3 linked regions of the Caenorhabditis elegans genome follow. The protein of the gene in region 2 purifies or fractionates together with the protein of the main gene of each other region. This does not show direct contact. Each region holds a gene or a part of one and is shown on either strand. Other genes may lie near its edges. The genes, in order: hif-1, vhl-1 and daf-15.

Evidence for each region.
Region 1: the proteins of vhl-1 (region 2) and hif-1 purify together in Caenorhabditis elegans (affinity purification with western blotting, with the first as the bait; one study listed by BioGRID). This does not show direct contact.
Region 3: the proteins of vhl-1 (region 2) and daf-15 purify together in Caenorhabditis elegans (affinity purification with western blotting, with the first as the bait; one study listed by BioGRID). This does not show direct contact.

What each region holds. Positions count from the first base shown.
Region 1 is NC_003283.11:20,775,793-20,788,579, reverse strand, and holds hif-1 (Hypoxia-inducible factor 1), read right to left. Parts: upstream 8,174-12,787; 5' UTR 8,079-8,173; coding exon 8,059-8,078; intron 7,266-8,058; coding exon 7,075-7,265; intron 6,949-7,074; coding exon 6,794-6,948; intron 6,749-6,793; coding exon 6,434-6,748; intron 6,109-6,433; exon of another isoform or gene 6,045-6,108; coding exon of another isoform or gene 6,012-6,044; intron 5,917-6,011; coding exon 5,358-5,916; intron 5,255-5,357; coding exon of another isoform or gene 5,052-5,254; intron 4,843-5,051; coding exon 4,515-4,842; intron 4,445-4,514; coding exon 4,188-4,444; intron 4,108-4,187; coding exon 3,935-4,107; intron 3,887-3,934; coding exon 3,719-3,886; 3' UTR 3,320-3,718; downstream 1-3,319. Other genes in the region: Y44A6D.1 (uncharacterized protein), read left to right, coding at 957-1,044, 1,118-1,164.
Region 2 is NC_003284.9:11,302,100-11,311,504, reverse strand, and holds vhl-1 (von Hippel-Lindau tumor suppressor homolog), read right to left. Parts: upstream 4,150-9,405; 5' UTR 4,137-4,149; coding exon 3,999-4,136; intron 3,950-3,998; coding exon 3,754-3,949; intron 3,535-3,753; coding exon 3,344-3,534; 3' UTR 2,987-3,343; downstream 1-2,986. Other genes in the region: F08G12.5 (RING-type domain-containing protein), read left to right, coding at 1,283-1,339, 1,749-1,940, 2,242-2,391, 2,444-2,602; F08G12.1 (Rab-like protein 6), read left to right, coding at 5,632-5,761, 5,811-5,917, 6,008-6,157, 6,739-6,968, 7,019-7,136, 7,181-7,284, 7,342-7,476, 7,522-7,565 and 6 more. UniProt on the Caenorhabditis elegans protein: Involved in the response to variation in environmental oxygen levels by targeting the hypoxia-inducible transcription factor hif-1 for proteasomal degradation when oxygen levels are normal (around 20%).
Region 3 is NC_003282.8:9,382,053-9,392,837, reverse strand, and holds the start of daf-15 (Raptor N-terminal CASPase-like domain-containing protein), read right to left. Parts: upstream 6,631-10,785; coding exon 6,566-6,630; intron 6,389-6,565; exon of another isoform or gene 6,382-6,388; coding exon 6,300-6,381; intron 6,236-6,299; coding exon 6,138-6,235; intron 5,920-6,137; coding exon 5,698-5,919; intron 5,582-5,697; coding exon of another isoform or gene 5,573-5,581; coding exon 5,276-5,572; intron 5,227-5,275; coding exon 5,100-5,226; intron 4,729-5,099; coding exon 4,359-4,728; intron 4,303-4,358; coding exon 4,123-4,302; intron 4,080-4,122; coding exon 3,346-4,079; intron 3,278-3,345; coding exon 2,415-3,277; intron 2,369-2,414; coding exon 2,260-2,368; intron 1,829-2,259; coding exon 1,612-1,828; intron 1,570-1,611; coding exon of another isoform or gene 1,552-1,569; coding exon 1,390-1,551; intron 1,344-1,389; coding exon 1,185-1,343; intron 1,136-1,184; coding exon 604-1,135; intron 121-603; coding exon 1-120. Other genes in the region: nssp-45 (uncharacterized protein), read right to left, coding at 7,239-7,320, 7,543-7,712; C10C5.5 (N-acyl-aliphatic-L-amino acid amidohydrolase), read right to left, coding at 9,723-9,866, 9,923-9,983, 10,030-10,109, 10,152-10,258, 10,307-10,463, 10,512-10,785.

The sequences.
Region 1 (12,787 bases), on a different chromosome or scaffold from region 2:
AAAGCGGAGCAGTGAAAGTTACGAATTGTTGAAACAAAAAGACATGGCTTTGAATTCAATTGAAATATTTTGAAAACCGAGGAAATGAGTGCTGAACCAGGGGTGCGCGGCAATTTCCGATTGCCAAAAATTCCCAAAACCGTCAATTGCCGAAATTGCCGATTGCCGGAAATATTGAAAACCGGCAACTGTCAGGGGAATCCGCCTGGCGCGCGCACCTAAAGCGCAAAAGGCGCGCTCGAGACGCGCATAGTATGCGCACTGGATGCGAATAGAGTCTGTCAAGAACGAAGCAGGAACCAGAAAACAAAGTAAACGTGCTTTTTTCTAAACTTTATAGACTATTACTATGTAATCAAGAGTATGAATAAGTAAATGTTTAAAATGGAATATTTATTTGCTCGAAGTTGCAAATTTCAAATGGTACACAATTACTAGGAAACTATGGTGATATGTTTGTGTATATATAGATCCGTATATAAGAAAGTACCTGTATATAGGCACTTTATAGTTGTTTTGACTTCCCAATCCTCAAATTCACGTAGAAAAAACATAATCCCCACATCGTCGACGCTCTGTGCGCGGATCGTCCACGCTCTGTACGCGCCCGTGCGCGCGCCCTCCGCAGATCGCGGCCGCGGCCTAGATTTCAACTCTGCCAAATTTTTCAAGTTTTTTCAAGCGTGTTTTTTTCAGTTTTTTTCGACTTTACACATTTTCTATACTTTTTATTTATTTTTCAATTAAATATTAATGAAAAAATTTGCAGAAATTGCATAAATGCCTGGTCAAAACAAATAATCGGAGGACCAGAATGACATAGTTCATCGGTAAGATAGTAAAAACGATTTCTTCGAAATTATAAATAATTTGATAAATACCCGGTCTTCAATATCTTTTATGCATCTCGATTATTTAAAAAACAGAATTTAATATTTTCAGAAAAGCAACAAAATATGGAGACGATTTGGATTCCCCACCTTCACACGGCCCTAGCATATATGCACGAGAGATTTTTGGAGTTGTTTATTCTCCCTGATTCCTGTAAGTTTTTTTTCTTCTTCAAATGAACATGAAAAATGTTTCAATGAATGAAATTAACTTGTTTATTTTTCAGGTCCATCGAAAAAACTTGAAGAGCTCCAACAAAAAGAAGGGAACTGACTGGACAAAGGAACAATTTTTAATTTTGAAGTTTTTAATTTTTTTAACCTTTTCAATTTAATAAAATTAAATTTAAATATACCCAGTATTCTACGTTTACAATTTATTTGGCATAGTAATGAAGGGAAGGGGAACGAGCCGTGGCCAAATTCGTATGAAATGCGCCGGGCGCGCTCCGTCCGCGCGCTCGGTGCGAAACATGCGCGCGCCAGGAGTAGCAAACTGCCGAGTACTTCTTTTTTCAATCACGAAATGATTCAATCCTTGATGGATTGAACGCTTTCTTTTAGACTAACCAAATACTAAAAAACAAATTTTTTTTCGATTTCCGAAAAATACTTAGGCTTGAAAATTGCCGAAAATCCTAACATAGGTTCTAATATCACCGTACAATTTTGTTAAAGAAACCTCAAAGCAGCGAGTCTATGCGGCATGATGTACCATTTCTTCTACAGTTAGTTATTGCAAAGTAAAATATCTGAATTTTCTTTTCCAAACTCAGTAATGATTTGATTTTAAATTCCGTAACTACGAAAGTATTCACTGCATTTCTACTATCTTCACATTATAAATCAATGCTTTTTTGTTTTTCGAACAAAGTTTGAATGTTCCGATTTTTGAGGAACTCTCGTGGGAAATGCTTGCTACAAAACTTTGATTTTTCTCAAGATAGATAGTTTTTGATACGTTATTCCATTTGTATGTATAGTTTTAAAAAATCATATTAACATTTTTATCTCGAAAGTTCAATTTATTAATGTCAAAAAATAATCCGTTTTGTTCCCGCCATTCATCTCATTTTTTCTGCTTTTTCTACTATGCCATTATGACGTGAATGCAAAAAAAGCACTGAGTTTAGGCGGAACCAGCCGCTTTTGACTTGTCCGTCTGAACTGACATTGAAATGAAAAAAGATGGAGAGACGTAAATTTTTTATTGAAAATTAAAGTCAAAAGGGCAGGAGTCAAACATTGGATAGCATACCAACAACCAAAAAGAGCGAACCTATTCAAAAGTAAAGCAATAGTTATTGAAATTTTGATAAAATGAAGAATTCAAAACTTATTGTTCGGTGCTTGGGAACCAAAAATTTCCGACAACCAACAACTTTGGTAAATATCTTTTACCTTATTGTTTAAAGCACTTTGTGTTCAGAAAATGTTGTGTGGTTATGCAACACACCAGAAAGAAGTATGACGTGAGCGAAGGTTATCAAGAGGGCATCAACACGTGTGAATAGAACTGAACTCATTTGTTTGTTATATATTTATTACCGATTTAACCTCATCAATAAATTGTGGGTTCGACTAATTACTACAATTCTAACGGACACAACAGAAAAAATTGCCGTGTACCCCTGATTTGGAATGGCAAATTGAACTAGGCAGTTGTTTTAGTTCCGAAACAGTAGTTTTGATAATTCTAGATCTTGATCTTTGATATGGAATTTCAAACCACTTTTGCAAAAAGAATCGGTTTGATTAGTGAAACTTAGCATATTGAAACTTATAAAATTGCATAAAACCCCCGATTGTCGGAAATTATTGAAACTGACAGTTTTCAACATTGACTATTGCATGACCATTTTTTAGTTTTTCTTGTGCAAAACCGAAAAATCGAAAAACCGAATAATTGGAAAACAGAAAAAAGTAAGAAAATTTTTCATTTTTCGCTTTTTCCACAAAAAAAACCGGAGGTCTGATGCGTATATGTATTCATTATCTATTAATATGAATGCAATACTATTTTTCAAAGCGAATGCATTACAACTAGGTTGTGCAATACTAATTTTCATACGCCTTTTTTGTTTAGGATTCCATGTTTTCATTTACAAGAACAACTGTTTCTGAAAGACATTTTGCAAAATTGTGGTTAATTGGAACAAAAATGCAATAATCCTAGCCTTGTTGTAATTTTGCAAAAAAACATTTCAAAATAAACAGTCTAAATTTTAGAAGGTGTTCGAGGTGCAGTACTACTAAGAAGTGAAAGTCTAATAGGAAGATCGTACGTTTGAAGTAATTTGTAAATCAAGACGAATAGATTTAGACGCGTTTTCACTTTACAAGCTCATACCTCAAAATTTCAGATATTTTCCACAAAAATGAATGCTAAACTCTGTAATAGTGCTTTTTGTAAAGTTTTAAAAAGATGATCAAACCAAAAAGGTTTTATCGAGAAGAAAACGAAGACGGACAGAATTTTGAAAATGAATGAGACGAGAGCATTGTGAAAAAATGAAAAGAAAACTTAACATAAGAAGATTCGTTGTATAAATGATGCAATTAACTATCACTATGGAGATGGGAAAAACGGACAAACGGACACACAGATAGACACGTTTTGTACTACGATTCTTCTTTTTTTTACTAAATAAAGAAATCAGAGGGAAAGGGAAAAAGGAATGGGGGAAAATTTATCGGGGAGGATTCTTGAAACTCATTATTCTTAAAAAGAGCAATAGAATTAAGTAATAAGAAGTGTGACTTGAATGAATGAAGAGTATATTTTTGAAAACAAAACAATGAACAGTTTGAGAGGGGGTAGAAAATAATCAAGAGAGCATTGGAAATGGGGAATAAGAACTAGGCTGTTGTTCATTTTGCTGTTGCTGTCCTTGCCAATATGTCTCGTCTTGTTGGAATGGTTGATAATGTTGAGTGTACATAAAATCTAAATCTGAGGGACCTGATTGGTGCATTCGCTTCGCTGGTGGGCTTCTCTGCAAAAATTAACATAATGTTAGGAGCCAAAAACAAAACAGGCTTACGTCAATGTGCACAGGCCGAGCAGCTGGGGCTTGAGGTACCGCAGGTGTAAAGTCAGGCAAGTCGTAAAGAGCTTGAAGCTCTGGTGGTAACCCCTCGTCCATTTGCATCATATCATAAGTGTCAACGAATGGTGCCAAGCACGATAAATCAGGCTCTTCCCATTGAAGATCGTCTGAAAGTTAAACATTTTGTTGAAAGTTATCTGATTTCTTTCACGAATGAGATTGATTTGAACATTTAAAAAAAACTAACCACAAAGTATTGGTTCGCCAGAGGTTAATGTTGGCGACGAATCGATCCTTTCGGCAATGGCGATAGAATCGGCAAAAGGCATAGTGGAGAACACATCATTGCTTCCGATGACTGGGTTGATGCCTCTAGTGGACGACACATTGAGAGTATCTGATGGTGAAAGGGCGGAAAAGCGTCGTGACGAATCGGACGGATCGCAGCTACGTCCCATAGATCGAGCGTCTCCGTACACGACTTGTCCAGATTTGATACTGCAACTGATACAAGGATATTATAAACATGTACATGCTCAACGTGCTAATTGTGAAAAATGTATAAAAAACTAACCTCGGGGGACTGTTAAGTCCACATTGTGAGATGCCCTCTGCAAGTGGCGAGTAGTTGGCACTGTGTGGCAATGTGGCCGATGCTGACGTGGAAGACGATCCAGTTGTTCGACTTCCCTGACTTTGTGCTCTTCGTCCGTATGATGTCTTCGGTCGGGAGGTACGAGATGACGAATCCATGAAGTCCGGCGAGGCCAGAGCGGAACCGAAATTCGACGGTTCGGTTGTCCTGAAGCGGTCCGCTGACCGGTAGCGTGCCGGCGGCGGAGAGCTTGGCTGGTCGCGAAAAAGCCATTGCAAAACGTCATCGTAGCTGTTCTTACGTGCTCCTGAAATACACACGTTAAGAAATCACTTGCTAAATGTATGGAACTTTGAGTAGGCGTAGGGTAAAAAATAATACGACATGCATGGACAAGTTTGACAAGTTTGAAAATAAGAAAAAGAGAAACTCACGGAGGTATGAGGACAACGGAGGGGAAAACTGCGATCTGTTGTTTTTTTAACTTAGTAATCATAATCCCATTTCCCAAAGTACCTCCTCTCCGCCGTCCTCATCCTCTCCGTCAACTTCCATTTTCTCATTATAAATCGGAGCCAGATCCACATCGAATTCCGGTGCTAAACCGGAATCTTCTATGGATTCTGTATCAGAATCCATATCGCAGTCTTCTATATCATTGCCGGCAGAAATTTGCCCATAAACACGTTGCTCATACTCATCCGTCACCGAATAAATTCCTATATACGTACCTCGTAAATTATTCAATTTGGATAAAAAAAACTTAGGTGAATCAAACTGTATAATTACAAACTTTTAATACGTTCTTAAACATGTACTTACCCATATCAGCCTGCTTAACAGGTTCTTCTCCACCAACGACTGGCTCAATAACCGTATCAAATGGATCTTCTGGCTCGATCAATGGAGTAAAATCGACGCATTCCACAATTTCAGGTTGTCTTCCAATATAGTCTCTTGTATCATCCACTTCCTTCTTGATATCTACTTGCATTCCAGCTGGCATTGAATCAGTGCAAACTACCAATGACTCTTCAGCTCCTTGGATTCCGAGAACGTAATGAACACAAATGACATATTGTCCTTTTTGTCCTTTCGTCGTATGTGTGATTGTAGTAGCTTCTGTTTGAATCCAGGCAAGTGTGTCATTTGCAGCAATCAACCGGTAATACGGGGTACGGATGTGTCCTTTGGCAAAAAGTTCCTTCATGGATTTTGATACTATCATCATATCGGCTGGATGTACCAATTCGTAGAAACTGGTGCCCATGAGAGTCTTCAGCTCACTTTTCAAGATGTAATTGAACTTATCCGAAACGAAAGTGATGCGCATGTCGCAAGTGTGACGAGTTGTGAATGCACCCATTGGGCTTTCCGTGTACTGTAAATTAATCCATCTATATTTTTATTAAACTTATAGCATCTATAAATCTGATTTGAAAAAGTTTTCGAATATACACGCCCTTTAGGACTCACTTTTCTATCTAGGTATTCAGAGTCCCTGCTCATTTTACTTTTGCAAACGGAGCAGCAATACAAGATGTAACATCTTCTCCGTTTTCTCTTCTGCTTCAAAAAAGGAGAAGATGACGCCAAGTTGCATGTGCTTGTGCTTCTCTACTTCTCTCCAATTTTCTAATCCTGTTTTCTATGCGCGAGGTGCCAACGGCTGAGTGTGCTTTGCTCAAAGCACTATTCTCTATTTTAAAGATCAAAAGAACAAACTTTTCGAGCGAGCAGAAGAATAAGAAGAAAATGAAATTGTGTAACGTCTACTCAACATTTTGTCTCACAATTCCATCAGTTTATCAAGAAGCGGAAAGGAGGAGCAGAAATTCCCAAGATCAAAAGTTCAAACTTTAGAATCTTACTATGAAACATTCAAAGCAGATATTCACCTTTGTCATTGCAGATGCATTTGCATTAGTTGTACCCTGTCCAGCAGGAATTGTGATACCTTGCATGAATGACACGTGTCCACCAGTTGAAACTTTTGAATGAACCAGGAAAGACACTGATTTGTACAAAGCACTCTTCAAATTCAGACATCTTCCACGTGGGCTGATGACTGTCTTCATTCGAAGCACCATGTTGATGCCGGTGGTGTCTGTGTCCTCGCCACGTGGCTTGTGCAGCATTTTTGATTGCTTGTCAAACTCGTCATAGTCGGATGGATGAAGAAAGTCTCGAAGGGCTCGACCTGTTAAATCTGTCTGAAAATATATCGATGTTAAAGAAGCAAGTTTTCTATTGCTCACCTGTGTTAATCCTAAATACATTGCAACACTTTCAGTGACGTAAAGAATTGAAGAATCACTGTCAACAATCATAACAAAGCCGTCCAAGCATTCGGCGATGGTGTCTTCAGTCCATACCTCATTTGTGATTTCATTGTCCAAATTGTTTTCCAATACTGAAAGAAAAATATTAATTTGAGAAAAATTGGCAGTGATTTTTGGTCGATTTTCTCAGCATAAAACACGATTTTCAAGTGATTTTTGATGTTGAATCAACTATTTCTTTATTCGATGTCACTTACCATTACCGGCTGTCTTGCGCAGTCGACAAATTGTGGCGGCAACACGAAGAAGTGCAATACGGTCTAGATGAGTTACGGTACCTTCTTCAACAATAGGCACACACATTTTCAGATCATCAAATATATCCGATTCTTTAGACCGACGATCACGAGCCGCGTGTCTCGATGTTTCACGACGGCGTTCCATGTTTCTAAAAAGTTTGATTTTGAATTTCTTGTCACCCCAAAATTGGTGAATTTCAAAAAATTATATACCTATATAAGTACACTTCTCATGAGGTTTTTCGATTTAATTTAGTTTTAAGTATAACTGGGAAAATTTATTTTTTCAAAGGTGGAGTAGGAGGAGCCAGTGGAGAAAGTGTTGAAAACTAATCCAATGGTACTAAAATGACCGAATATCAAATTAAAAATTGTCAAAAATTTTTTGAAATTGTTTATTTACCGTCCGTTAGATGATAATCACTCAATTTTTGCCACTCATAATTTTGGAAGCATAGTAGGGATCGGAACATGCGGCATTCCTCAAATACTTATGTTTGTAAAAATTTTGGCCATTTGCCAAAACTTTGACCGGAAATTATGAAAAATCTAAAAAATTTTTAAGTGTTTTATTATGATTTTTGGTTGTTTCGAGCCATTGTAAGTGTATTTTTTAGGCAAAACTGCCACTGGCGCTACTCCACCTTCAATCACAATTATTTCACAATTTATTTTCATAATTTACTTTATCTAACATCTCCGATTAAAAATGAGTTGTGTCTAAAAAGAGCGAGATATATTTTATATAGATGATTCACATTTGATATTCGATTCGGAAATGCGCATTTTCAATACATCTACCTCTGCCAATGCTCCCTCTCTCTCATTTGCGAGCAGAGCATGGAGCAAACCCAAAGGACTACGGTACTTCTAGCGTTTTCAGGCATCCAATCATGGAATGTTTAAGAATGAATTTCGATTCTAACAGAATTCTAACTCTACCTTTTCCGATTGTCTTCCATCTTGATAGTGAATAGGTGCAGCTTCAGTGAAGCTGAGGTTGGTGTGATTGGGGCAACTTCCCCGTAATGACGGGCAACTTTCAGGTGGGCTGAAAATGTATGACAATTTTAAATTGAATAGAATCGGGTAGAGGGAATTAGAAAAATTGTATCAAATGTTCTTAAAATTATCATTGAGAACATAAGGGGTTGTTAGATTTTCGAATGTTAACACTTTTGAATAAAAAATCAAGTTTAGTTATGATTTATAGCACTAGGGTAGAGTGTAGTGAGACAAATTGAAACATCATAAATACCAAGGGTGCACAAAACGATCGATTGGATATGTTAGTGACAGTTGTTTGGACGGGGTCCCAGAGGACGTCAAGATTTGTAACAATTTCATGGACAATTGACTATTTGTTAGGCAAGTATCATAAGAATGTTGCAGAAAACAAATCATAGAGATCAAATGCTCAATTTAAAACCCAAATCTAAAAACAAGAACTTAGGTAGACTGGAAATTTCGCTGAATTCAATTCAAGAAAAATTGTCAATTTCTTTATATTGAGTGAATACAAACTGATTACAAGAATCATGTGATAAGCCAGTGAAGGAGAAAAGGGCACACAAAAAGATTAAAAGCAAAATTTTCCCGATTCAAAAATATAAATCTGGATATTGATGTTACGTCAATGGTATGAATGGGGCAAGATTGAGGGGGTGACTAACATCAAACTATGAATGAACTACGATCAATCTTTGAAAAAATTGTAGTTGAAGTAAGTCAAAGAACAGGGGAATCACTAGAATGTAGTGTTTTCACCGAGCGTAAACAATAATGTTTTTGAAGATAACTATACTCAAGTTCAGAAAGGGTAGTTTGTGTAGTGATTTTAGTTTATCCTTATTATCAAGTGAATTTCAAATAAAATAGTTAAGATCGGGATTCAATCAATCTTTGGACTTAAAGGCGGTGTAGTCGAATTTTTAATTACTCTATTACACTCAAAATTGTCTGAAAACACCGAATTTTCTAATTAAATTTTTGAAAAGGACACAAAAAAACTATGGCGGCCCAAAATATGACAAAAAAATAAGTTTTCAGCCGCTGAGAGTTGCTCAAATTTTAAAATTTAACTGATTTTAGGTCCTTTTTGAGCCACCATAATTTTTTTGAGAAGTTTTCAAAAAGTTTCATTAAGAAATTTGGTGTTTTCAGACAGTTTTGAGTCTAATAAAGCTAGTCCTTACATCTCATATCACACTTTTTAGCTTAATCGAGAAATTGAAAATATCGATACATCAAGAGAGTGCACAATTAATATAAATCCTCAAAATATAATAAAGAATTGTCGAAAGTTATTGGAACATTAAATAAAATCAATAGTCATATGAAACGAGGGAAACAGATAGTCATCATCAACAAGCGGGAGGCGACGACAAAATGTAAGAAGAAAGATGTTGATAAGACAAGAAATTGAACGACAGTGGGCAAAACGACTTCTCAGAGACTGTCGATTGACAGAATGTTAGACAAAAAATTGGGGGAAAGCTAGAGTACAGAGAAGTAGAGTGACTGATAATTGATTAAATTTAGCGAAAATTGAGTTTAGTCCATATCTTTATAATGGAAAGGATCAACTTTTTCCGATATGTGGTTCAGGAGCTATGTTTTGACATTGGAGTTAAATAAAAATTTAAAATACAGATCAATGAAATCAAACCTATTAGCGTTACCTTTGAACTATAAGAATTAATAGATTTTCTGAAAATCTGAAATCTCTCATTAGAGAAAAACTGAGCAGCTAGTGGGCGGTGCCTACAAACCAAAGATGGGCATCCAAACATTTCTTCGTTGATCAAAAAATGAATTAGAGAAGTAGAGTTTTCTCTGAAAATTGAGAGAGGTGAAGAAAAACCAAAAAAAAGACCTCTCATCTAACACACTCTCTTGACCCAGTAAGTACATAAACCACGGAGACACGAGACAAGCAGGCAGACATATTGAATAGTGTGCGATTTGGAGAGAGTCCAAAGAGATGAGAGAGTGAGAGAACTAAAGAGAGGACAACGTCAGTAGTGCTGTCGCGACAGAATTCCGACGCGCGCGTACATCGCGATGATGGTCAAGAGTACAGAGAGACACTAGAGGGTAGTATAAACGAGGGAGACGCAGAGATCGACATAGAGAGGGAACACGTGGTTTAGAGAAGGGCGGTGCGGTAAATGAAATTGGGATGATGGGTAAGAAAACGTTGAAATAGGGAGGTACACTGGAAAATAATGGAAATTAATTAAGGAAATTTAGATTAAAGCTAGTCCTAAACTAAAAAAATGATGCTAGGTTTAGCCTGACCATCGTTAATATTTAACCATTCGAGTATATTCAGACTTTAAAATACTAATATTCAAATTTCAACCCTAACAACGTTGTGTTTAACCAATTAAAAATTTATTTAGTTTTTTCTCCCTTTTTCCGAAAATTTTAGCATGTTAAAACCTTTCCCAAAAAAACATTTGAGGTGATATTATTATTATGTATCAGCTGACTGTTAAAGGTGGTGTCGTCGAATTTTTTATTGCTTTATTAGACTTAAAATTGTCTGAAAACCTCGAATTTCAAAATGAAATTTCTAGAAAACTTCTCAAAAAACGTTATGTTGGGTCAAAAAAATGACCTAAAATTAGTTCAAATTTGAAATCGAGTTGAAAACGCAAGATAATTAACTGGTATACCCCGAAATTAAACGGTCATTTTGAAAAGTTAGTTTCTAGCCGCTGCAGTCAGTCCAATCTCAAATTTTGACTACTTTTTGTCATTTTTTGAGCCGCCATAAGTTTTTTTGATGTTTTCAAGAAGTTTCAATATGAAATTCGGTGTTTTCAGACAATTTTGGGTCTAATGAAGCAATAAAAAATTTGACTACACTACCTTTGATAGAAAACAACTTTATTTAAAGATTTAAAAAATCAGAACAATTGTTACAAGGATTAAAAACCAATGTTTTCTGCCGAAACTTCATAAGAAAAGAGTCGTAAAATATTTCCAATAATACCCATTGACCGCTCTTTGTTGTTCAGTTTTCTTCTCAACTGTTATTTTTCAGACCTAGTACGCCTAGAACATTCGACTTGTTTTCAAAACAACGTCCCACAATCCAAAACACGTCATTGATACTTTAAAGAACTAATCAAACTAAATTATGGGAAGGGCATAGGCACTTAGAAGTTTGAAATCAAAGTTCGATTTGACCCCTCTCAACTATAATTATAAAGCTAAACAGATGCAACCAGTGGAGGAAAAAGAAATTTTTCATAAAAAAGGTATTGCAAAATACAATTCTTATTAGCTAGAAATTGAATTAAGATGAATTGGACGTGGAAGCACGCAAGGTGACATCTCAAGGGCTTTGAGTCAAGGCATAACAAATTTTGTAAGATCAAAAGACCCTTGTCACGAATCATACGAGCCTCAATATACGGAGGTTATAACCTCAATCAACAACAATTTCAGAGGAAAAATGCGAAGTCGCGCGGTGGCGCCGGCGTCCAAGTCCAAAGAACGAGTAAACTTGAAAGAGAAGAGAGAACATATTTGTGATGCGAGAAAGAGAGCACCTTGCACTCACAAGTTCTCAAACTCAGTTGAAAAAGAATGAGAAGAAAAGAAAGAGAGTTGCACAAAATGCACAAAAAAATGAAATGGAACACACACGAGGGGAAGGCTCTGTATGTTTGCTTTCTGCAACGTTGGCAAAATCTGATCTTTCGTCTTTCAAATGAATTTTGATTAGCAATAAAAATTTAAAGCCTAGATTTCAAGAAAAACTGAAATTGAATTTTGTTTTGTTTTGTTTTTTTTTTTTCATTTTATTTCAGATCCGCAAGGAGGTATTTTGAGGGAACCTTAATACTAGAATGATCATAATCAAGAATATTTTCGTTAAAGGTAGATTAGAGTCGAAAAAAATGTTGCTTTTAATGACGGATACCCTTCTGATCGAATATAACTGTAATTTTTTAGTTTTCTAATGTTTTAATGATTTGTTCAATTTTTCAAAAATCAAGGAAACTACCGAATTCAGTTTGATTCCCGCGCAAACGAGTGACGTCATTTCCGACATTATCACGTATTCTGGCTAAATTTGCCGGTTTTTATTGGTTTTTTTCTTCTATACTTGATTTATAACACTTTTTTTCAATTTTTCAAACAATTTCCCGAAAAAATTTTCCAAAAAAAATAGGAAATCGCCGCTTTTAAGGCCAATTGCTTTCGGGCTATCAAGTTTTCTTCAAGAAAAAAGTTTGAAAGTTGAAAAACAGCGTTTCAAATCAAATATGGAAGAAAAATCAAGAAAACCCGGTAAATTTAGCCAGAACACGCAGAAATGTAGAAAAAGACGTAACTCATTTGCGCGGGAATCCAAATTTGATTCGGCCGACTTTTCTTTGATTTAAAAAATTGAAAAATTATGAAACATTTAGAAAATAAAAAAAGTTTCAGTCATTTAAACCAAAAAAATAAATTCTACTCCACCTTCGAGTATTAAAAATTTTTTTTTTTGAATTAGTACTAAAAATTGCGAACATTTTCAAATCTTTTCATCATGTCAATCGTTTTTAAACGCTTTTTATTTATTGTTCAGTAAAAATAATACTACTACTTACTTTGGCAAGCTAAAAAATTTCCAATAAATAATTTTAAAAATACATTTTTTGAATTAAAT
Region 2 (9,405 bases):
GCTGTTATTGATGCAAACGGATACGCGACAAAGTATTAAGCATAATTATGTTGTTTTTAAATCCAATTGCTCATATTCCGGTACTTTAATTGTCATTTCCTTGCAACCTCGGTTTTTTCAATATTTCTAGTTTTTCGATTTTTTTGAATTTTTCTGAAGTTTTTTCAAAATCTGTTGAACATTTTTGATGAATATTGTGTTTTTAGATTTTGTGAACACTGTGGTGAAGTTTCAAAACAAAATAACCACTTAGAAAAAAGTTACACACAAAAAACCAAAAGTGGATATCTTTTTGGCCAGCACTGTAACACACATATATCTATATTTCTCATTTAACAGTGAAAAAGTGTTGTTCCTTGTTAGAAATGAATGCACTAAAGCTTAAATAGAAGGTAAAAATTAACAAATCTCACTCAAACTTCATCTATCTCTCCATACTTTATTTTTCAGCACACCTGCACCGCTATTGGTTTCATTGAAGAAAATTCGCAAAAGTGGATCAATGATTGTTACATTCTATCAAAATCTCCAATCAATTCTACTGGCTTTGATAATACAGTTGATATTTATGAAATTTGTGTTTGACAATGAAATACTACTCAAAAATGCGGTTAGAAAATGATGTCATGTCTGTGACTGTCAGTTTTATACATCAGAAGATAAAATAGAATCATTAAACAATGTTAAAATTAACATTTTATTTTTCGTTTTGAATTGATTTTGTTTGTATACACGTATATTTTGTACCCGTCTCTTCTCTGTTCCCGCACAAATATCAGGGTACAAAGAACATGTTGGAGTATAGAGAAAATAGAGAATTTTAGAGTACCACGGTGTACTTTTTTCTCTGTTCATTCTCTATCTTAATGAAACATGTTTTGGTCATTTAGTCCATTTTGTCTGTTAGTACGATTAATCTGTAGTTTTCCTCTTTTCTCCAATCATAAATGTTTTTCAAGTATCATTCGGACTAATTGTTTTTCCACTTCTTCACTTTTGTTGATCGTTCCAGTGATATTTTTCCTCGTCCTCTTCACTTGTTGTCTCTTGGTTGTTTTGTGTTCCCGGGTTGCCCCCGACTGACTTAATCGTAAGAGATCAACGCGCAAAAGAGACGCAGGCAACACATTCCCTTTCCACATCGATTTCGAGCCCGGTTGTGTCCTTTTATCGTTGCGTTAAAGTTTCTATTGGCCATTTTTATTACTTAATATTTCTGCTTCAGATTTATAGGGATGCTTTCAGGTAGTTAATTCTGATGAAGCAGAACGTGAAACAAAACATGTATGGATTTTTTCGCAGGTTTATTCCAAAGGATGATAAGAAAGCGGATAAAAAAGTGAGTTTTACATCAATTACAATTTTCAAAATTGAATATTTCTGAAGAAAAAAAAACACTTATTGAGTTTTTTAAGTGTAAAAATGTACAAATACTAATAATTTTTTTAAATTGAAGTTTGCGAACGGAAACACATACTTCACTATTATATTCAAAATTATGATAGCTCTCTTTCAAATCGTCACGTTACTTAAATTATTTGAATTCTTTCTTTCAATCAAAAAATACCCGGTTACTTGAAAATAGAAAGACAACCATTGTTTGTTTTTAGAATCCAATTTGAGACCGATTAGCAATCAGAAAAACTTTATTTAACAATTTTCGGGTCAGGTGAAAAACTCTATGGTTGAGCAGAGTTTCAATTTAATTTACTACAATAAAAAATTCGAGTTGAATATATGTATTTCAGCGGGTACTGAAATCCCTAGACGAGGCTGATGTATGCGTAGTTGATGTAGAAACATTACGATGCGCTGTCTGTCTCAACATATTTCAAGGAATCCCTCAAACGCTGACATGCGGTCATTCATTCTGTCATAGATGCATTGAAGAAGTGGCTCATTCGGAAGTGATGAATGATACAAGAGAACCAAACCGAAATGTAAGTTTTGTAAACCGTAATTGTAATTCCTCTATAAGCATGGTCTTGAGAAAAGGGTCTTTGGGTTCCGTGTTGTGTTAGTGAAGCGGTAAATGGGAAATTCAGTTTTGTGCGCACTTTTTACTTTTCAAAATTCGTTTTGTTAGATGGAATATCAATTGATTAATTCTAACAGGAACTCTTGGTCCGCAGACTTGTTTCTCGAGAACATTTCGGGACAAAGATTTTATGGAATATGTATTTTCAAAAAACCGTATGCAGATTTTAAGCTAATATAATAGGATTTCACTCTGTGTTTCAGTCGTTTCACTGCCCCATTTGCCGGAAGCGTGTCAGCATGAGCAAGGTTATCCAGAATTATACACTGAAAAACGTACTGGATAGTATTAACGAACTATCGAGAGAGGAGGAAAAATCAAGAAGAGCGTATGATAATACTTTGGATGCATCAGTGAGTTACATCAATAATAAAACAATATTTGCAAACAATTGATAAATTTTAGAATGAACAACTCCGCGTCAAATGCATTGATTTGGAACGAAAAGCAGATAGTCTAAAACGAGAAATCAACGAAATGCGCAGAAAGGAGTACTATAATTATGTTGCTATAACATTTTTCATTATTGTCTACATTATCCTGTCGACAATGTTTGGAAATTGAATTATTGTATAGCTATTCTAAGAATTTTAGAAGTATTTTCCTTTTTTTTAATTGTTGTTGTATAATACCTATTGAACCGGTTAGATGCTGATACTCATTACCTATGTCCAACTAGTTGTAAATAGGGGTCATCGAATTTCAAATTTTGTTCTAAGTTTTATGCGGTTAAAAATTATTATAATAAATAATGAATTGGATATTAAATTGGTAAAATGCAAATATTTTGAAAGAATATTCCATTTCGTGTTCCGCGTTCTTGTGAGAACAAACAAGCTTTGAATTGCTAAAATCAAAAACAATTGGTTTGAGTGATGATAACAAAAATATTGAAATTGCATGCGAAACTTCATGAATTCTAACGCTGGGAATTGAGCACTAAAATCTGAAATCAATTTATTTTCAGCAAAAAAGCCGTAAGCTGATTTTTCTGCTCTCCAATTTTTTCAATTGTAAATTGTTTGTTTTTGAAATTAGAAAGTCGTGTGTACCTTTGACCATATTAATTTTTCTTGTACTTCAGTCCGAATGTAACATGAAATATAATAAATTATCTTACAGAACATCATTTGCCAACATAACTTTTGCGCTTTTAAAATACTTTACCACAAATGCTAGCAAAAATTGTGACAAAAATGGTGAAAAAATCATTAACAGTATTCAATGCTACTTTTGAGAAAACGACCGTATGGGGAATGGAATTGCTTCTATCATGACAATTTTCGAAACTATATACAATTAGAATCATTGCTGAGGTCTCTGGGGTCCAGGAGGAGGAATTGAACGGCAGACTATTTCGGAATATTCTTGTTTTCTATCCAGAAAATGTTTGACTTCAAATTGTAGTTCTCGTGGAAGTCCTTTGATTTTGTTTGGAACTTCAGTTGGATTATGCCGTAAGAACGAACGTCCGGCAATTTCTCGTAAGGATTGAACTGAAAAAATATTAACAGTTAAAAGTGAGGTGCAAAGAGGAATTAATCGTTAGAAATGGGGAAACATGTGATTCGATTTATTCTGCATTATTACCACTCACTGAGTAAGTGACAACGAAATCGTAAAACTAACGTCGGAAAATTCAAGAAATTGATTATTTATTCAATTGTTTTCTTTTCCATTTTTCTATGTAACCTTTTAAAAATAAAAAAGCCTACCTTTCATTGTGATGACACAATGATTTCGAACAATCAAATTCATTCGAGGAGCTGGCTCCGGCCAGAATACTTCTTTTTCGTTTACCAATACTTTGCATCCATCAAAGGATCTCCTAGCAACCCATGGATGATCCTTGAAAGTTTTAATGTCTAAATACTTTTTTTGGGCAAGTGTTCCGTATTTTGTCGGTTGTTTCTGTAATTTAAGGATTTTATCTTTTTCGTTGTGTAAGAATTAAATTTACTGATGGATTCAGCCAAAACACGTCCACGGGGTAAGCACATCTGTTTAGGAAACGAACACGTATCTCTCGATTGTCATGTGTTGATGAGCCCAAGTCAGGAAATAACCTTCCATCATCATCCATCGAACCGTCTGACATTTTTCTTCTGAAAACCAATAAAAACATATTTTTCACATATCATAATGAATAATTAAACGTTTAAAGTAACACGAAAGGACCAGGTATTAATCAATAAAAAAGACGCTGTGAAAAAGAGGTGGACGGGTGTAGTGGACTGAGGGCCGAGACGGCTGGATTCTTAGTCCCCGGCCTTTTCTTGTTAGCTCTGCCACGAATACGATGTGTAGAACAACCTAAATTGATATTACCTCGACGCTTAATTATTATTTTGAAAATTTATTAATGTACTTCAACAATAATTGTAAAATGTTTTCTAACTTGATTTTATTTATTGATTGAAAACAGAAAATGATGTGTTCGTTGAGTTGTTTTTTTCAAATCTAATTTAGTTGCAATAATTTTGATAAATCTGAAACACAAGTTCCAATAATGTCTGATCAGAAACCAATTTTTTGTTGTCTTCACCGATTATTAGGTTTGGAACGACACAAAACGTTAAGTGCCAGCTCACCGAGGCATATAAACGAAAAGAGCCCTCCTGCAAAAAAGAGGCCTCCCTATTCATTCGGTGGCCACCACGTCTATCCTATTGCCTCCAGTGTATTGCTTGCCGTCGAACACTCTTCTCCGCACACTTCTTTTCTGCCTGAATATTGATTTAAGGGCGTTGCCTTGACCGTACTTTTTGTTTCAGGGATTAACATCAGTTGTGAAGAAAATCTAAGGGTTGCCAGACAATTAAGAAAATCTGTACGCCAGCTTGCAAAAAATCACACAAAAATCATTTTATAAATGAAAACTCCAATTGGATAAAACAAAGACAGTGCTCCGATTGACAGCGGTTTATGACACTTCAGTCCTGATGCAACGTGAGTTTTTGTTTAATTTGGAAAACAAATTATTTAAAATTTTAAAACACAGTCAAAAGTTTGTGTAAGAATACTTTTTAAAACTGACGGATTTTTTTTTTCAAAACGCCTAGTTTAATTTAAATTTCTTCGTTTAAAACAAAAAATTTTAAAAATAAAATGAGGAAAGTTGAATTACAGGACAGAACAAGATGGTCATGACATGGTAGAATAACAAATTCCATTTATCATTTGTTACTGATGATCTTCTGGTGATCCGTTGCGTCTAGGATTTGATTGGATTCAGCTTCAGTGTTGTAAATGAAATAAATACACAGGACCCGTCAAAAAGCTTTGAATAAAGTATGAATTCGTGTTTTTTCAGCGATACGCCAAATGGAACCCCGTTGTGTGAAGAAAACATAAAATTTTCGCTCAAAAAACGAAGTACGGATAATTCAATTTTTCCAATTTTTCCATTAATTCGTTCAATGTACCGATTACAAATAAAAACAATAAGAAATCTTATCTTTTTGTTGTCAATTTTTGATAAGACGTACTGTCTTTCCTCTTGTTTTATTTCAAGACAATAATACCTTTTTTGAATGTTATTTGAGCACTACTTGCACTTGCACCAAACAAATCTTCTTCAAAAAATTATTCAGATGTTCTCCGCAATACGAAAAAAATTGGGTGGTGACAAAGAAGAGAACAAGTCGACTGTTATGCCGTCAGGTGTACAACGAGTCGACGCGGAATTGCAGAGAAAATTCGCTCGAGGAGTACAGTACAACTGTTAGTTTTTTTTCCATTTCACCTGCTTCTGGTAATTAAATGTTTTTAGTGAAGATTGTAATTCGCGGAGACAGAAACGTCGGTAAAACTTGTCTATGGAAACGACTTCAAGGGCTTTCATTTCAAGAGGAATACGTGGCAACCGAAGAGATTCAAGTAAGATCTCGTATTTGCTTGGATATGGATACAGACTTTGCTTGCATCAAAAAATTCAAAATTTGAAAAATACTCAAAGTTTGATTCCAGGTAGCCAACATCAACTGGAACTATCGCGCAACGGATGACGTTGTCAAAGTTGATGTTTGGGATATTGTAGATCAATCCACTAAGAAAAGGGTCAAGGATGACAAGTTAAAATTGGCGAACAATGGGATGGATAAAAATGATGGTTTAGATGTAAGTCTTAAATTGAAAAACTTAAGAAATGCGTACAACTGAAAATAGTTTAAAGAAGAAATATCCTCAGCGAAGAATGGAAATCTTTGAAAGAATTTTCCGACAATGTTTGTACACTGGTAACGGAATAAGAAATCGTTTAAAAAATGCAAAGTGATATTGCAACAAACCGGTTACAGCGCATTTCACGAATAGTTCAGAAAACTCATCGATATGTAGAGTGTGGTATTTGACTTGCGTGGGAAATGATAGGTTGAAAACATAACAACATGATTTGTTAATGCGTATCAATCTTTCTGAGCTAATATTAAACTAGTTTCAGAATCAATGTCAGTGGTTTGAATGGACAAAAGGTTTAAAGTTAAACTAATTTAGAAACATCCAAAATGCCAAAAATTAGTTAAACTGGATTTTGCAAATTCATTTCAAGTAAATTACCGTTTCCACATCAAATGTTTGACATGGGTTCAAATCAAGAAACAAAAACTTAACAGCATGATAAATTTTTGATTTCAAACTAAAATTTCAACAAACACACTTTAATTTTATTGACAAAATCAGTAATATTCCACATATTTCAGTACGAGGACACAGCCTGCGATGCACGTTTTGTCGATGTTTACAAAGGAACAAATGGTGTCATTTTTGTATTTGATATTACAAAAACGTGGACATGGGAGTATGTACAAAAGGAGATTGTGAAAGTTCCGAACAAGATTCCTGTTCTTGTTCTGGCAAATCGTCGAGACATGGGTCATCACCGTCAAGTCACCGATCTACAGTGCTCGACATTTGTTGAGCTGTTCAATAGGTAAGATTTTCATTTTCAAAAATACAATTTATCTGAATTTTTGCTTTCAGTAGTCATCCTTCCCCAGATGGTTCTCCACGTGCTCGTTTTGCCCCGGCATCAATGCGATATGCATTTGGACTAAAATTCGTACATCACTTTTTCAACATCCCTTTCCTTTGCCTTCAGGTATTATTTTGTTTTTACTCAAGTTCTCACTAATGACGTTTCAGCGTGAATCATTAATCAGACAATTAGAAACGAATAAATCAGAAATTGTGTCTAGCTATCACGAGCTTGACTGCTATCAGGAGACCCCAGAGGCCGACTATGACACGTAAGCGCAGTCATGAATATTACGAAAAACTCTTAAAATAGAATTTGAATTTTTCAGTTTTATTGAACTTGTGAACCAGAAGAGAAGAGAGTATGCAGACAAAAAGAGTGAAATGGCAAGACAAGGTGCTGTACAAACGTCTGGAAGAGTCATGGGTGGCGGACAACCAATTCCAGGACAAAGGCTCACGCCGTGAGAAAAATAGGAACCTGAAATAATTACTTTAGAATATTTCAGACCGACGATTCCACGCGCGAATATAGATCAGTCAGAAAATAATGGTACGAATTTACATTTTGAGTGGAAAACTGTCACAGTAAAAAATCGGAAGTCTGTTTGTGAATCTCAGAAACAAATTTGAGCAAAAGTGTCACAACATTTTTAACGTGGTTTTCAAGAAATTGACAGCCTGTTGTGGATGAATGACATACGAATGCCGTGTTTATTTTTTCAATAATATATATTTTTTTAGCAACACAACCTGCATCTGAAACAACCCGTAAACACTCCTTCGAGATGGTTGGTGATGAAGATGAAGACGGTATCAACACCTTTTTAGGGGAAAAACAAGAAACAAAAAACCATGGAGTTACTAAACCCAAACAAAGCGAAAGTGATAGGTAATAGCTGGGTATGGATTATAATCATCAATTTAACTTTTTTTAGTGAGACTGAAAATAACATGGTTTGGAAGTTCGAAGAGGATTTCTCAGTTGACGATGAGTTGATGGAAAGAATGGCAAAAGCTGGAGAGCAGAGAAAAGTACAGTCGAATTTGAAGAAGTTGGCAGTACCCGAAACTGTGGAAAGAGAAGTGTCAACTCCAATCGGTTAGTTTTTATAGTCACGATGATTTGATGTTATTACTTCTTATAAGTGTTTGAATTTCATGTTTACAGCGTATCATGTTAAAGTCCATGACGATGACGTCGATTCGCCCGTTATTGAACAACCGCCAATTGCATCAGAGGTTCACTTATTTCGAGAGAGGAATTTTATAAACAAGAAACATTTACAGAGCTTTGAAAGTCCAAAATTCGAAGCACCACCACCACTTCCTACGAACAACCCCTTAACAGTTGCCATGACGTCAGACGATTTGGATGCTTGGCTTGGTTCTGATGACCAGTCACCAAAGTCAACTAATACGGTAAGAATTTTTAATGTAATATAAAAGCAATATATTTAAAACAAAAAATGTTAGTAATTTTTAGTGTACGTTCAGTAAATAAAATCTAATAACGTGCTCGACCTTTTGTCATTCAATAAAAAAACTAAATTTCCATTTTAAATTCGAAGATTGGCAGTGAACAATTGTATCATAATTTTCAAAATAATTATAGTGTAGCAATTTTTCAGAAAATAAAACAGGCATCTTAAAAACCGGCTTTGACCGTTCGGTTATTTTTGTGAATACTAAATCATTTTCCTGTTTTTTTTTTGAAATTTTACTCCGTTTGTATTTGATATCATACCATATCCATCGAATCTTTAAAGCATTGTTTCAGGTGCCTGAGCAACACAACAGCAGCGACGAAGAATTCGGAGTGGAACTTCCGGAACCTATAACAAAGCCAACATTGGACATTTTCGCACCTATTTCCGACGATAAACCATCATCGGAGTCTAGAACACCGGTGAATTTGGATGATTCTTTGGAAGAAATCGATAAAATCGTACGTTTACTTTCACATGAAAAAAGTTAAATGTTCATTTACAGGAAAAAATCACGAAAAAGAAAAAGACCAAAAAAAGTACGAAAAAGGTGAAGGCAGAGGAGGAAGCTGAGCAGGAAGAAAAATTGACAAAGAAATCCAAGAAAACTCCAAAAAAGAAGGCTGCCGAAAAAACATCCCAATCTCTTCTCGAAGACTTTTTAGGTCCTGCCGATGATAACGTTGCCAGTGGCGGCTATGATCCACTTTAAGCAAATTGGCTACTGAAAACTTATATCAATCACTAACTCGGTCAGGCATTTTATCAAGTTTTGCCAAATCATTGCCAAGGTGCAGCTCGATAATATGTTTTTTGTTTTCCAATACGCAAGTTTCACAAAAAGCTTAAATCATTTTTATTTTATGGTTAGAGCTCTTGGAAAAGAAACAGAAAATGTAATTAAAG
Region 3 (10,785 bases), on a different chromosome or scaffold from region 2:
TGAGATACATAAGATGGGCAGAATGGATTTGAAGCAGTCAAATCGAATCTTCGGAAGGAACGAGTATCTGTGTCTTGGCGGATAATTGTCATCAATCGACCATCTGATGCATACATGCACCTGAAATAGTTTCACTATGAATTCCGTTAAATTTAAAGTAGCATGGGGATCTTGCATTCAAAAAAAACCAAAAATATTCTTAATTTCAGTAATACCACGAGAGAAAAACTAAAAAAATCGAGGAAAATTGAAAAATCCAACTATTTGAAAACTCTATTTTTTTTGTGAATTTCCCTGTTTGAATTTCCTCCAGAATAAGGAACCATGCTAACTATCAAGCCAATCAGCGTCTTCGAACTCCGTTCACCTCTGATTGGTTCGAAAGTGTGCTGATTGGTCGCAGTTATCATTCGGTAGGAAATTCAAACAGGGAAGTTAAATAGTCACAATTGAAAATAGAGTTTTCAAAAAGTTGGATTTATCAATTTCCTCGATTTTTTGTTCGTTTTTCTTTTATGGTATTTCATAATTTCAAGCTATTTCGGTTATTTTGCAGGCAAAATCCTCACTGAAAAGCAATATCTGAAAAGTTTAAAATGTTACCTTCTCAGTTTTGAAGTGGTTAGCGATCGAGCAGGATGAGTAAGCTTAACTCTCCAGAGACATTCATCATATTTACAACTCTGGAAGTCTCTTCCCTCAATATCTGCACTTTGCAACATTCCTTCCATTGCATGAATCGCCCAATCACTGATTGTTGTTGTCGTGACAACGACATCCTCTTGGCTTTTCTCTTTCTTTCCTTCTTTTTTGTCTCTTGCTCTTTTCTCTTCATGCATTTTACGATCCTGTTTTTGAATATCTTTGATTTTTTCTCGAAATTGTTCTGGCATAAATTCATCCTCATCTTCATGTTCCCAATCTTCTGATTTTTCTTCGTCAAGTGTGATTACATGAAGAATTGGTTCAACAAATACTTTACTACACCATGCAACGAATTGTGTTGAGACAATTGGATTTTCTATTACAGTTCGTAACGTTTTTGATTCTTCTTTCACTGCAAAATCTCCAGGAACTGCTTTTGTTCGTCGTGGTGTGAACTCCATCAAAGCTGCATCCATGATGTCTGATTTTCCTGTAATTTTACAATTTATATTGAACTTTTACAAACTGGGAAAACATACGAAAAGCTCCTTTGACAGTTTTTCCTGAAGCAGTTGTTGCCCGATCCTTCTCATCGTTGGCTGATTTGTTCTCGTCGTCATCGGAAGAGTCGTCTTTGGAAAAAAGTTCACTGCTTTGTGTTTCATCTGTGAACGAACTACCAGGAGACAACGCGTTTTCTAAAATTATTATAATTGCTATTTGTTTTATCGAATATACACTAACTATGTTGTTGATTTACATCACCAGGGCTTCCAACTTGAAATTTGACTTTTGATTCATCCTGTAACTTCTTGATTTGTCCTCCTTTTCCTCCTTTTCTTTGTTCCTTCGCTTTTTGCATATTTAATTTTGTGAAGTCAATTCCATCGGCAGAGACTCCAGACTCTGGAATCATTTCGACAACTTTTAATAGAATATCAAAAGTTCCGTTCATTTTTCACCTACCTTTTTCAACTTCTAAATTTCGTTTTATTCGTTCTGAAAGTGTGCTAACTTCTTCTGACGGTCCAACTGGTTTACGTGGCATTTCGACAGTCGCCTTCGAATTTTTACGAGCAATCATTTTTCGACTGAGATGAGCCATTGTATTGTCAATGTTGGCTTGCATTTCGGGCATTCCTGCTTCGACGCGATGCACTATTTTTTGAGCCATTCGGGCAACCTGACGAGATGTATTGGTTGTATTACACAGACGAAACATTTTGCGAATTAGGTGACGATAATACTGTATTCGGTCTCGTCACGACAAATTTTTGTTTAACGCAAAAAGGTATGCGCCTTTAAAGAATACAGTAATTTCAAAGTTTCGTCTCTGCTAAATTTTTGTTGTTTTTCGATAAAGCTTTATAAAGCTATATTTATTTATTTTCAAAAAACTTAAATTTTACAATGAACGCACAAAAAATTTAATAAATTGTGAGAAAAACTATAAAAACTCCACAGAAACCAGAGTTTGAAATTACAGTACTCTTTAAAGGCGGATGTCTTTTTTGAAATCGCAATAATTTGCGTATGAGTAATAAGTGGGAATTAAAATATTTACCATTCTAAGAAATTCTTTTTTTTTTCAAAATCTTTTTTTTCAAAATCTACCCTCTCAATAGGATCCAATGACAATATTAAAAGTGACAACCAAGTTTTAGCAACGGCTTCATTGAATGTTTTCGCTTCCAAGTGCTTGATCTGTACTTTTGCTCGTTCTCTGTAAATTTCACTTTTTACAATAAATCAATTTCTATCTTTCTTACCTATACTCAATATCTTCAGATTCTTGTTCAACACGATTTCCAGCTTCATGTGCAATGTGGTAAACATTTCCTATTCCGTCTTCATGCACAGTTTCTTCAACAGCTGTACTGAACACACTTGTCGACATTTTCTTTCGAATAACTGAAGGTTGCATGAATTCGTTGACTGGTGGAGCACGAGGTCGTCGATGATTTGATGGCATTTCTGCAGCAATATCCAATCCTTGTTCACTGAGATTTTCAGAAGAATTTCGTTTTCGTGGAAGTTTGAACTTAATTTGATTCGATAGTTCCAGTAAGAATTTCACGAATCGTTTCTCGAAATCAAACACAAACCATTGAAGAGCAACAATCAGTTCTTCTCTCACAAGAACAGAACTATCAAACACACACTGGGAACATAGTTCTCCTGCTAGATTTTCTTCAACTGCTGATGCATGCTCATTTGATCTCGAAGAGTTCCTCAATAAGCTTCCAAGTGCAAATACAGCAGCTGCACGAACTTCTGCTGATTCATCACTCAATTCCAAAATCATTTTATCATGAGCCATTAATCGAATACCCTGCCATCTGGCTACATCATAATCTGACCACAGACGACCCAATCCAATCAGAATCCACAGTTTCAGCAATTTGACGCTTCTCGCAGTATCATCGACCATCAATTCCGTACAAATTCCCATGTATCCCTTATTGGTGAGCTCTTTCTGTGCCAGTTTGAAATTATTGGATGTTAGCTGAGCAAGTACGAATGCAGCAACAGTTTTCTGTTTCGGTTTGATTTCAGGATCGCCGAGAAGTTGAAGGAAATATTGAAAACGAAGCATTGTCTTCTTTTCTTGTGGCTGTGCATTCGTTGGTTTCTGAAATTTTAATTTAGTTTTTTTCAAAGAAAGCTCCAATTGTGTTCTAATAAAAATTGTGAGTTTACCATAATTCCTTGCGGTTGTCTAGATTGTTGTTGTTGTTGCTGTGATGGTTGCTGTTGTAGTTGTTGTGGTTGCTGTGGTTGTGGTTGTCTAGGCTGAGCATTTGGTGAATGTTGTCCTCCTGATGGATCCATTTGCCTCTGATGAGCTTGTTGTTGAGCATATTGTAATTGCATATCCAATGCCTGATTCTGATTAGTTTGAAATCTTCCGCCAGTTTGAGTATTAATCTGAAGTGCACGTTTATCCATTGTTAATTGTGCAGGTGGTGGATGATTTGCAAACATGGATGATGGTTTCAATGCAACTGATGGTTGTTGTGATTGTGCTGGTGATTGTTGTTGTGTTGCTGATTCATCGATACACTCATTGAATAATTCCATTTGACACGATGGATCTACTGCCAGAATTTTTGCCCAAATAAACGCTAAAGAGATTTTCAAATCACTAATATTGCTTTGAAGTAGCTTCAGAACATATGGAAAGATTCCAACGGCAAGTGAATATCCGATAGCCCATCTACCAAAATCAAGGAATCGTGCAAGTAATCGTAGAGCTCTGACACGATGTGCCTGACTCAGAAGTACTTGAAGAACCATCGGAAGTTGGAGTGGAGGTGTTCCTTCGTCAACACCGTAGTCTAGCCAAAGTTCAAAAGCTTGTAGTTGTTCTGTGAAGAATGTGTTGTACTGGTGGGTCTCATTGTAAGTCAGCACATGTTCGAAGTCAATGAGCACTAAAATATCAGTTTGTGAATAGTCAAATGCATTAAAATATACCTAAAAACGGGAACACATTGCTTCTATTAATAACATCTCTTCCACAAAACAGTGCTCTTTCGCATTCTTTGACATAAATCAATTCTCTACAATAGTCTAGAACCATATCCATTGTTTGATCCCAGCATCTCCATAAATCATGCATTGATGTGTCTTTCAGAGGAGGCTGCGAAACTGGTACTGAAATTCAAAATTTGTTTAGATTTCATTAAACTTTCAGATATTTTATTACTTACAAACATTGAACTTTGACATAACTCTTTGTGCAAGCAAGAAACTTCTGAACAGAGTTGCCAAAAGTAGATCCTGACGGAAAAGTTTTTGGAACGAGTCACGATCTATTGAAGTGAATGCAATTGTGTCAGTGATGGCAGTGAATATCCAGTTGAGCTCTCCGAGCACAGTTCTTCGTTCAGCAAGATTTCCAGGAATCATGTCCAAAATGTTTTCCGGATACTCATCACGATGCTCCGAATGACTCAAATGAAATGCGAGTGATGTTCGGATAGGCGTGGTTAGACAGGAAGTGAATAGATCAGCTGGCAGATGAGGATTCGACATTGGAAGCCATTGACCGGCACTGCATGCTGCTAGATGGATACAATCCTGAAAAATAATTAGGTACGTGAATTCTTGTGCGGAACCAGGGGTACGCGGAAATTATCGACCAGCATTTTTTATAAAATTTAATGATAAAAATAGCAAAAAATTTGATTTATCGGAAAATAGCTTTCACTTTAATTGAAAAACTATTCAAACTATTCAAAAACGCTAAAAACTTTTCTGAAAGCTGAGAATTGCCGAAAATACCGACTAATTATCGAAATTTTCCCGGAAATTCCAACTTTCAAATAATTTTTGAGCACGTTTTCAATCAGTCCAACTGAAATAAAGTATTTTTTCTTTAATTTTTTTTACGCTGACTCATTTTGGAGAATTGCTGGTCGGAAATTTGCTTATAAAGATTCAATTCTTACATTATATCTGGGATATTTCTCTGGAAAACCTAATGCTTCTGCTTGATCAGCATCTGTCATTTTTGATGAGATTGGTGGTAGATTCCTCTGTTCCTCTTGCCATCGATCAAACCTACTTTGCCAGGATCTAAAAATCCATAATTCAGTATGTTCTTAACTTTTGGTATCAAACAAACATTTTCTGATCTTCTCCAAATCGTCGATAGTTATGAAGAATTGTCTCAGCTGAATGAGTTTCCCAGATATAAATTGTGGGATAATCAAGCCATCCTTGTAGATCGAATATTGACAATGGAATATATTGGGTGAAGCTTTTATTAAATACCCAAATTTCTCCATTATCTGTTGGTTTCGGTACACCGTGTCCGTTGTAGTGAAACAGAACTCGATCATTTCCACTGATTCTTCGAAGATTTGTTGCAACTTTTCTCACGTCATCGATAGGCGGATCCGTACAAATTTTATATCGAGTTCTGTAACTCCTTTTGGCTTTAAGATTGCATTTTTGTTAATTTTATTCATTTTTGTAATTTTTAACCGAATTCTAGAGTAGCGTATTTTAGTCCGAAACATTGGAAATATCCGATTCATCTCTTACTTTGATTTTGGTTGCCACTTTTCATAAGCCCTTTGAGTGCTCAATCCGATCTCTATGGCTGCTTTGTGTGCACCACATTTATATGGATCAACCCATGATAAAAGACGAGAAGGAGCATCTTTTCGAGACGGAGCTTCTGGTGGATCGACTCCCAAATGTAGACACATGATGATGGCGACAGATGCAGTTCGGAGGCGATCACTGCCTTTTCGGCGATTTACGCTGAAAATTATTTATTTTAACTTATAATTAATTTCTTGCCGAATGCCCTTTGTTTTCTGAAATCGTTTTGATTTTCCAAATAGTATAGTGCAAAACAGTAAAAATATTTCATATTATTTACTTTTTGTGAGTTTTTCCATTAATTTGCTGTTTTTTTTTTCGTCTTTCGTCACAACAATATTATTTTAATTTTAAAATGATGCTCTAATAAAACAAACCACTCTTCAATACAATCCCACTCATCTTCCATACTTCCTGCGATATCTTCGACATGTCGGGGTTCTTGTAAATATAATGTGACTCTTTCTACATTTCTCTGAAACAAATATATTTTTTTGTTTTTTCTTGAAAAAATTGCATTATTTAATTAAATTTCTCACCTGAGCATGCCACAAATTGACTGTCAAACGTTCTGCAAACGAGGAAAACGGTGTTATACTCCTATCCTCTTCCATTTTGTGTCTGAAACAAAAATTGTTTGCCATGTTATAGTGCGATCATGTGATCTTCACGAAGGAGTGAGCAAGACAAATAAAAAAATCAATAAATTTAATTTTCTTTGGAAACCGAGTTTAAGAAAAAATATTTCGTGCAAAATTGCATTTTTCTTGTCGGCAAAAAGTGCAAAAACCAAATTGAAACTCACGTTGGCAATGAATTTAAAGAAGACGTGATTCGTGCAAGTGCGCTCCGTTGCACTTTTTGTCTCATTTTGGAGGAAACTCAAATGAGAGTTTCACCTTATTTACGGGTTTCGCAACGTTTTCATCATTATACCGAAATTTTAATTAATCCAAATAAGTATTAAAACAATTTTTCGACAATATAATTAAAACAAAATTAAAAAATGGAAACTATTTTCTATATTGGCTGTGATTCAGTGCTGCGTATATACTAGAGCAGATATGAAACAATGCAAATTTCGGAATATCTTAATTTAAAAAAATATTTATTTATTCGAGTCAATTGACTTTGTGGGATGACTCATGCATATTTATTTTCAACTGTCATATATTTTGTCTCGAAACCAGTGAAAAATTACATTTGACTGCACCTAAATTTAACTTACTTTCTAGAATTCGTATTATCTTAACTTTAATTGTATATTTAAAGGTGTTAAAGGTAAATCATGCTGTGAATATCAAAAAAAAATTAATCTCGAAATTCGAGCCGAAATTCCATCTTTCTCTGAACAAAAGTAAATTCATTAACAATGTATTTTATTCAATGATGTTCTGTTGTCACTGTATTTTGAAAATGTTCTCAAACTTGGTTGGTAATTAAAGATGGAAACAATTATGAATGGAGTAGTTAACGATTCAAGCCTTTGGATACATTCGACGCATACATCCAGGTCCATGGCAGCCAAGAAATTCTGTGCAAACACAACCAGGTGGAGCTCTGGAATTTAAATAGTTATTGTAACTAGCAAATTTAGAATTAAAGGAGACATTCCCAAAAAAGTTTAATGTTTTCAACTTCTAGTTGAACTCATCATTAATAATATTGAATACACATATTTTACCAGTTAAACAGTTTTTATAATAAAATCAAGTTCATGTGCTAACAATGAAAATACAATACATTAAAAACTAATGAAATAATGCGAACTCAAATCAAAACCTCTTTCCAAGATCCGGTGTGATAGATGCAGCGGATGAAGAAATCGGACGATATCTCGGGTAACGAGCCATGTTTGAGCTGAATAGGAAATCAAGTGGATCCACTGCCACTGTTGTTGCACAGAGCAGAAGGAAAACCGTTGGAAGCAAGATTTTCGATGAGAACAGCATCTGAAATTCTAGAAAGATTTCGAAAGAAAATGCATATGTTATGTTGAAAAACAGAGAAGTGGTAATGGGAAATTAAAATAAAGATATACAAGAATGAAGTTCCAATATGTCAAAAAAAAAGAAGATCCCATTATCCCATTTTATATATCCCATTTGTTTGTCCGAATGACCGTATTTTTTCCTTAAGACAATAAAAATATGTGTCAAATGTTTATTTTGTAATTTCATAGTTGAACATTTTTTATAATTCCAAAGATATATAAGATATGAGCTGTAAAGCAGTAAGGAACTAATAGGAAATATATTGTGTGCTTTTATTATTCTATCAAAAACGCTCTCAATTTCTCTACAAGCAAGAAATTGAAACATTTACCAATTTTACAAAATTTTGTAAAGAGACATTTTTGAATGGCTTTCTTGTTAAGCTACATTGACGGAGTTTCGACGGTAATAAAACATATCTAATGTCGGCTAAACATGAATTTCTGCTGTTAACTTGATCATATAATCAGATTTAACAGTAAAATGTTAACTAGATAATGCAGGTGTAACATAATTCTATCAAATGTAACATAGCTCGTTGAATACTGTATTCGTTCTCTGTTTCTAAATAATATGTTAATAGTAAGAAATGAACTCCCATTTGAAGGTTTTATTAATAAATGGTACACTTCAATTGTTTCCAAAAGTGATAATGGAGCAAAACTCGACCGTTTTGGAAATTCCACTTTGAAAAAAAAAACAAGATTTTGTGAGGTTTTTCAATAAACTCAATAATCCGCAATCAAAAACATCCTTGAGCCAAGTGTAAATAAATAAGAAAAGTGACAAAAACCGTAACAAAATAGTAAAAGTCGCCAAGTTTCTAGAAATATCACAAATGTTTTCATCGTTCATTGCACATGAACAAATAGCAACTCAAAATATATCAAATGTGACAAATGAGAAATTGTCACGAGATCATTTATAAATGAAAAAGAATGTAAAATGAAGCTTCTAGTGCTTTTGTCACTTCCTTTCAAGATATTGACTCCTGGAATATATACATCATCCCATTTGTTTTTATTCGAAAGAAAAGCACATAATTTAACAATGCGATAGGAATACCAATTTTCATGAACCAAATAGTCATGGTGGTCCCGTCCCAATGAAAGGAAAAACGTAATAAGAAAAAACAAAAATATAATGGAAGATGTCTGTAATTGAGATGAGTTCAGACTGCAAATGTATAAATAATCAAAAAGTTTTAGAAAAGATAGTGATATCAGGACTTGTTAAAAAATTTCAAATTATTAAATTTTGAAATTGCTCTAATTCTTAGAAGTTTTGTCAACTGGAATTTTCACATGAGAATATGTTAGTTCATAATAATATCATATGAAAAATAATGGGTATAAATCTGAATGCCCATGGGAAAAGTTTTATATCGCTATAGAAACCTGGTTAAATAAAAGTATTCTATTTAACAAATCTGATGATTATTGATAATTTTACCTATTAAATGCACACAGCTGGTCTCACCTCGATTCAAAAATTTTATTATCTATAATCTAGTAAAATTGGCTTGTGACTGAATATGGGGGCGTCCTGATTTAAAAAAAAAAAGAGACTTTTCAAGCTGTTAAAAGAGGTTTGAGGAAAAAACCTACGAGTTTAAAAGAAAATACCGAAGACATATCGGTTTTATAGTAATTTCTGAACAATTTATCACTTGACATTAGCCAGATAGTCAAACAACATCAATTTTCACACTTGTAATTAGCATTTGTAGGTTATATTTTTCTAAAATATGATATCATATGCCTAAATTACATTTTTCTCGCAAAAATTTAAATGTTAATTTTTTTCTTTCAAACACATTATGCAGTTTTTGAAAATGGGTATTCTGCAATCTGAATATGTTGAGAACCGTTGCAACAAGCAGAAAATTATTTTACTAGTTTGTAGAATTGATATACAAACATTTTTATTTATACAGAACATTTAAAAAATACTTTAAAAATTGAATTATTAGACATTGCCCAAGTTGTTGATGATTGTTTGATAAATCTCGAGACCTCTCAAAAATACTTTCTCATTTAAATATTCATTGTGATCGTGTGGAAGAAACGGTGTGTTGATCATTGGGGAAAAGTTAATGGAATTTACTCCTTCCTGAAATAGTAGATCAACTGAATGTCAATTTGAAACTAGCCAATTTTATCACTTACATATCTCACAAATCTTGAATCTGTTGATGCAACCATTATCCCTTTTTCAAATTTGCAGTTTCTGAAATATTATTATTCAAATTATGTCCGTTAAAAAATTAACTAACTCTTGATTCAAACTGTCCTCAAATGCAGCCCAGAATGAATTATCTCGAGTATGTGCAGATATTGGTTTTTGGTCAGAATACTGAAATAGAGCCTTGATTGATTTTTTGTTTCAGAACCTTACTTGGGAAAATTCATAGGTGACACCTTCTCCGGCATTCTTTGCCCATTGATCCAACATTTCACGTATTTTATTAAAATCTTCATGAGGTGTCAATCTCATATCAACATCTTAAAATTATATTTTACATCTATAGGCTGAATGAAAACATTACTTACAAGCTTCAAACTTTTCAGGAATCACATTGAACTGAACTCCACCATTTACAATATTCACGTTCAAAGTCGTAACATCTCCCAGTGTTAAATTTGGATTACTCTCCAATACAACTTTTTGTTCGTTGCGAAATTTTCTGGCACTGGCTAGGAACCGCTCCTAGACAAGTTTTAGTGTTTTAATATTTGCAGAAGGAGTGTAACTTACGAGTTTCTCCATTGCAGTATTCTCCATAAACTGTGATCCATGACCAGGGTTTCCAGGGAATGTTACTTTCACCCACCACGCAACTCTTTCTGCGTAGAAAACTTTGTAGACATCATCATCTGATGGCATCCCTTCATCTAATGAAAATCCAAGGTTCAGCTTCTTGAACTCATCGGTTTTCGCAAATCCTTTCATTCCATTAATTCCAAATATTTCTTCATCGGGACCCCAAACCAAATGAATTGTCCTCTTCCATTGCCTGATTCCCTGAGCA